2 linked regions of the Tribolium castaneum genome follow. The protein of the gene in region 1 purifies or fractionates together with the protein of each later gene. This does not show direct contact. Links are inferred from orthologs where the notes say so. Each region holds a gene or a part of one and is shown on either strand. Other genes may lie near its edges.

Region 1 (3,429 bases):
AGCAGTATGAAGTTCAAGGACCCAGTTAAAGACGGCGAGGCGAAAATCAAAGCCGATTTTGACCAGTTGTACGAGGATATTCAACAAGCCTTCAGGAACTTGGAGGATTAAATTAGTTTTATTGTAGGCCGTATATTTAACCTCACTATAAAATTGCCGTCTTTCGATATTAATGTACAATATGTTTATAAATGAATTAGTTCATAGGTCTAAGTCCTATAGATTAGAGGTGAGGGTAAATTGCTAAATTTCGTCCCTTCATTCCAGTTACTTTTAAGGAATTTTTATTTTCGTGTTTCCGTGCAATTATCAGCTTTCCAGTATTATCGGGACCTTTTTTTCTTTACATTTTATTTTTTCGTTATTTACGCATATTTCGATGTTGTATATTTTATCATGTTATTCAAACGGCTACTTGTACAGTTATCTGTGTTAATATTAAGTGAACTAGCTAGAAAATAGCACAATAAATTGTTTTATTGTAAACAGAAATAAAAGCATTGTTGTTTCATATGCGTTTTTATTAAGTCTTAATTTTAATGCTCTTGGAAACACTTGCTTTAATCCCGGAAAGCTCCCCACCATATCTCGTCATTTCGGTTCGCGGCTCACGAACCTAAAAATAGCGCAATTAAATTTAAGAAAAAATACTAAAAGTTGACATACAGCTCCTCTCCTTCGTATTTTTGCTTTTCTAAACTTGTTCCTATGCTTCACTCTTGGATTTCTTTGTTCCTTCTTTCTGTGCGGCGTGAGACCCTTATTTTTGGCAATCTGGTAAGTTATAGCCCTCTTGCCAGGATCTACAACAAAACATGACTAAAAAATCGCAACAAACAAAAATCAAACCATTCTCGGGAACATTTGCCTCTTCGTCTTGCATTTGCTGTTCATTATCTGTTGCTTCTTTTTCGTCCACTTCTGGTTTAAATTGGACTTTTTTCCCTGCTGGTTTCTTGTCTTTCTTTTCCGTTTTGTTAACCAATGTGCTCAACACCTTTAATGTTTTTTTCGGAACTTCTTTTTCTTCTTCATTCAAGAGTAACTCAATTTGGGGCTTAATCACCTCTTCGAAAACTGGCGTCATTTGTGATAACAGTTGTCTGTATTGGTACAAACGTTTTATGATTGGGTGGTTTTGCACGTTAACTCTTGAGGCTTTCAACAGTAAATACATGTTGATGTTAACGCAATAACTACAATTTTGTGAATTAGGAAAAATAAAATAGAAAATTGAGAAAAATACTTTAAAATTAATTCGTGGTGAGTCACCACAAACTCCATTGCTGAACAGTTGGGGATTTGCCCCTTTTTAAATTTAACCAAAACTGGTTTGAGGAAGTCTCGAGCGACAACCATTTTTTCTTCAAAATCTTCAACCAGTCCGAAGAATTCTGGCGATTCCTTTTGCAGTATTTGTAATTTTTGCCTTTTACTTAATTTGGAAATGTCGCTTTTGATCAATTCTTCCGACACTTGTTTATCGTCCTCAATGACCTATCCACGATTTAGTAAAAAATCAAAAAATTTAAACCCTACCTTTTTGGTGGGCACATCCAAGCAAAAATCATCATCGTCTAGCTGTTCAGCCAACTGTTTTTGTAAATTCCTTGCTTCCTCTTCCTCCAATTCGGCCAAGTGGGCATCCTTACCTTGGAAGCCCCCATAGTCAGGGTCTACGTAGTCTGTTGAATAAAACTTCCTCTTGTCTTTGCCCCAGGCCCTAATATCAGGCAAATCGTCTTGGTCCTCTTGCTCCTCAACGTCACTCAGTGCAATATCACTTTGGTCATCGTCATCGTCAGTGCCAGAACCCACCCCAAACACTTCCCCCTCACTGTCTGAGTCTTTAGATTGTTTGTTTCGCACTTTCTTCAGAAGGATTTTCTCGTTTTCGGTATAATCCTCGTCAGAATCTGTAGGGTTGTAGTCACTTTCATTTTCGTTAAATCTAGAAAAAGGAGTTATAAGTGTTACAAAAAAATAATGTAACACCACCTTATATGAGACATGCTTTCACAAGACTTCAAACTTGTCCACATGCAAAAAGTGAGGTTGTGTAACGTAATGACGGGGCGGGAGAATCAAAAACCCTAAACAAAAATAATTATCGCAACAAAAAATCAATTTTGTCTGTTTTTGTTGTGAAAATATTAAAGTAGATTCATTTATATGGCGATGAGCTATTAAAAAATTGTTAATTTTTTAGGAGCATAAAATTAAAGTGAGCGCGTCCTTGGGTTAGCGCAACGCGCGTTGACAGATGTGTGAAATGTGATGGCATTTTTATTTCTTGTAACCGCCTCTTAATTATTGTTATTTTCGGTTGATTACACAAGTTTTAAACATAAAAACCATGTGGCATGAGGCAAGACGACAAGAACGCAAAATTCGTGGCATGTTGGTGGACTATCGGCGAAGGGCAGAACGACGCCGTGATTTCTACGAAAAAATCGTATTGTTCCCTCATTTCCTATCCAATTTAATCTACTGTTGTTTTATAGAAAGCCGACCCAACTCAGTTTTTACAAATCCACGGAAGACAATGCAAGATTCACTTGGACCCCTCCATCGCAGCTGCGGCAGACAGTGCTTCGGCAATGTGAGCCCCTATATTACACTAAATGGGCGACAATCAATTTGTTACAGGATGCCGTGGCAAGGACAAGCTGATAATTTAATTGACCGTTTTGATGTAAGAGCACATTTAGATTTTATCCCCCCTGTTAAGAAGGAAGAAGAGGAGGAATTGACGTTTGAAGAACGGCAAATTAATTACGAACGGTACCGGATTATTGCCCAAAACTCGTTCCTTAGCATCAATGAGGAGAAGTTTTTGAAACAATTGCATCTGGAGGAGCAGTTTGGCTACACTGAGTCCAAGTCAAAGAAGGAGCAAAGGACTGGAGGTGCTAGTATTGGGTTTAACTACGAGGACAACACTGGTGGGTTTTAAACGCTGTTGGGGTAAAATCGAGTCGGAATTTTTAGCACAAACTTTGGCCCCTGACTACCACAATGATGAAGAATCAGACGGCAATTCTGATTCTGATTTGGACGTTGATTTGTCCATTAATGTTTCAAAAATGGATTCGGTTCAAGCACACGAAATGAATCGCCACGGCAGAAACTTTGGGATGAGCTCAAATGATTTTTATTCGTTTCTTACAAATGATCTTGAAGAGGCGGAAAGCTTCAGACTTGCCAAAGAAGAAGAGCATGAAAAAGCCTTGTTTTCAGGACGAAAATCGCGAAGGGAGCGCCGGTATTTATCCACAATTAGCTGTATTTTTTATCTAATTTTTTTGATAGAGCACATAGGGAAAAACGTCTGGCTAATAGGGTGATAAGTCCTCCAAGTTACGCCGCACGGACATCACCTACTTACCCTTCGTTTCGGAAAAGTAAATCGCCTTCGAAATCACCGAC
Region 2 (2,841 bases), on another chromosome or scaffold:
CCACTGATAGTCTTAAAAAAAATATAATGAGATCCGTAAGATGAAGAATAATGATCAGATTATTAACAGTAATAGTAATTTTTTTATGTATCTTCGTTCTCAAAATTTATTAATGTTAAAATAACAACTGGGTAAATTTTAGTGAAAAAAATGCACGTCTATGTATTTCATTATCTTAACCAAGTGAGTGCAAGAGACTTTTATGTCACTGACAGTTCGCCACCAGATTTGGAACCACCTCTATACAAGGACTTGGTGTGTATACTATGGAGTGTTGACAAATCATTTAGTAAAATTACCGTTGGAGACGCCACTCAGCTAGGTCAAAAAAGTAACCATAAATGGCGGAAAAAGCGCTTATTTGGATATTTTGTGTGTTGTACAAATTTTGAGGCTTCACAAGTATTGCATAGCGTATGCGGAATAACTAGTGTTATCTTTGGTGCAGGAAACGAATGTTGACAAATTAGAGATGACGAGAAAAACACGAATAACGAATGTTTGTTTCACTTTCTTTGTTGAATTATTATTAGAAAGACATTGAAAAGTCTACCTTTTGGAACAACTTCTGCTTAAATGTATCAACAGTTGGTAATCATCTTAATTGTAGTTTTCAAGATTTAGAATTGGGTTTTGTTTATTTTTGATACACTCATGTATGGCATAATGATTTACAATTCCTGTATGTTTTGGAAAAACAATAAAAATTTATAAGGACTTGGTGTTTCGTTTTACCAAACCAACTGAGTAACCAAATTTAAATTTAGTTGACAGTGTTGCCACCTACACTTAAAATTAATAAGGAAAATGTTATCACAACACGAAATCATCTCTCTGGAAAAAAAATGGTAAAAACCACGTTCTACATTATTTAAAAAATTTACCATTCCGTTATATTCAAGCACATGTTGTTTAATCTTGGAATTATCGACCCACGTTACAAAATCTTCCAAAGTCCTAGTTACAAGTAATGCTGGGTCTTTGACCAACTCGGGCCCAACCCTGACATGCCCCTGTTCAATTAATTTAGTAGCCCCCTTAATATTTTCAGCCATTTTATCTAGAAATTAATTTGGGGCAAAATTCTAACAATAACAACGACTTACTTCTAACCATTACAACGGCCAGTCGCCGCCGACAAAAGCACGAAGCTGTCACTTTCTCGGCCAGACTTAAGTCCCACCTTGTCGGTATTAACCCCATTAAATACCTAAAAATAAAAAACATAACCTCACTTTTGACAACGTTCCAACTTACAGTTTTTCCAACAATTGGGCACTTTTCTCAGTCCGGAAGGGGTCCTTAGCGTCCACTTCTTTAATTTTGCGGGCCAGTTCTCTAATATTACGGGCCAATTTGTTGTAACTACAAAATAAAATAAAACAAATGTCAAAACCGACCTAACCTCACTTTGTATAATCCTCGCGTTTCTGAATGTGGTACTTTTTGAGCACTCGCACTTCGTGCAAATTATTGTCGACTTCCCACGATATGAAGTCAACTTTTTTCAGGAGTTTTTGTTCGTGAAATTTTAATTTCCGGACCATTTTTGAAAATTGTGATCAGTCAAGGTGACACTCATGTGTGCCAACTCCGCCGGCCAAAATATTTAATTTGTTGATTAATTGTTGACTCACGCGGGCTATTTTTAATCAGTTTGTTAAACAATCTGTGATTGTGGCCGTGTCCAACGTGTGATAAGGTCCGGTTTGTGAAATTACGTTTCGTTTAATTTAGCTGTGATTTTCGTGGGGTTGGCTGCCATGCGTAACAAGCATCCCTCCCACTTGCCGAAAAGAGGTTATTACCTTTTTAACCGTAAAAACAGTTAGTTTAGCACAAAATCTAATTTTTTCATAATGAGATTATAGTTTGATTGTGTTGTGTGTGAAGTGTACCTTGAAAATCGCTAAAGAGTGGTTTGGGGATCTGTGGAGTTGATGTTTGGTGTAGTTTCGGTGACAGCTGGCAAATAGGCGGTACCAGTTTGTAGTTTTGGTTAAAAACAGCCCCATTGATTAAACACCAACGATGTTACGATGATTTCACGCCCCTTGTGACGATCCCACTTGGCAAAATGTCGAAGAACAACATCAGCGGCTCCCGAAGCGTCTCCTCGACCAGTTGTAACAGCATACAGTCCGACTTTGAAATCATCGATAACGGCATTGAAGAGCTAAATTTGAGTAAAAGCAGGCCCTCGTCGACGTCGCGGACGCAGAAAGCGAAAAGAATCCGATTTTACCATAACGGGAATAAGTTTTTTAACGGAGTTGTCATACCAGTGGCCCCCGAACGGTACAGGTCTTTTGACAGTCTGACGACCGAACTGACGAACATTCTGACTAAGAATGTTACTCTCCCCAGCGGTGTGCGCAACATCTACTCAATGGAAGGCAAAAAAGTATTAACCGATCAGATATCAAGACACCATAAATAATTTTTTCGCCCAGGTTTGTAGTTTGGACGATTTAGAGGACGGTAAGGAGTACGTCTGTAGTGGGAAAGGCGAGATGTTCAAACGAATCGAATACACGAAAACCGACACTTTGCGATCAAAAAAACTGTCCAATACGAAATTTAATAACTCACTTACACACACTCCAAGAATTATACCTCCAGATTGTGTTCGGCCTCGTATAGTCACCATTATTAGAAACGGGATTAAGCCCCGAAAGGTACGAAAATCAAGCTCGGAAAAGACAGCAAGTAACTGTATAAAATTACTAGTTCAATAACCAGTTCATTCGTTATATAATTAAAATAATAAAGGACACAAACGCTAAACGAACTCAAAATGTTAAAAAAATACAAGCTTTTTTGCATTTACTACAATTAATG

Evidence for each region. Proteins that work in one complex are often made in the same cells at the same time.
Region 2: the proteins of Sas10 (region 1) and U3 small nucleolar ribonucleoprotein protein IMP3 purify together in Homo sapiens (affinity purification with mass spectrometry; 3 studies listed by BioGRID and IntAct, with this or other methods). This does not show direct contact. The link is inferred for Tribolium castaneum from reciprocal best matches to the Homo sapiens genes UTP3 and IMP3.

The regions. Positions count from the first base shown.
Region 1 is NC_087402.1:9,104,564-9,107,992, forward strand, and holds Sas10 (something about silencing protein 10), read right to left. Parts: upstream 2,155-3,429; 5' UTR 2,043-2,154; coding exon 1,999-2,042; intron 1,952-1,998; coding exon 1,540-1,951; intron 1,498-1,539; coding exon 1,247-1,497; intron 1,197-1,246; coding exon 850-1,196; intron 804-849; coding exon 667-803; intron 617-666; coding exon 524-616; 3' UTR 501-523; downstream 1-500. Other genes in the region: V-type proton ATPase catalytic subunit A, read left to right, coding at 1-111; CLK4-associating serine/arginine rich protein, read left to right, coding at 2,357-2,455, 2,505-2,602, 2,650-2,945, 2,992-3,265, 3,313-3,429. UniProt on the Homo sapiens protein: Essential for gene silencing: has a role in the structure of silenced chromatin. Plays a role in the developing brain. Part of the small subunit (SSU) processome, first precursor of the small eukaryotic ribosomal subunit.
Region 2 is NC_087400.1:10,480,881-10,483,721, reverse strand, and holds U3 small nucleolar ribonucleoprotein protein IMP3, read right to left. Parts: upstream 1,616-2,841; 5' UTR 1,548-1,615; coding exon 1,411-1,547; intron 1,366-1,410; coding exon 1,258-1,365; intron 1,211-1,257; coding exon 1,107-1,210; intron 1,061-1,106; coding exon 885-1,060; intron 835-884; coding exon 814-834; 3' UTR 501-813; downstream 1-500. Other genes in the region: serine/threonine-protein kinase GL21140, read left to right, coding at 2,078-2,404, 2,454-2,678. UniProt on the Homo sapiens protein: Component of the 60-80S U3 small nucleolar ribonucleoprotein (U3 snoRNP). Required for the early cleavages during pre-18S ribosomal RNA processing. Part of the small subunit (SSU) processome, first precursor of the small eukaryotic ribosomal subunit.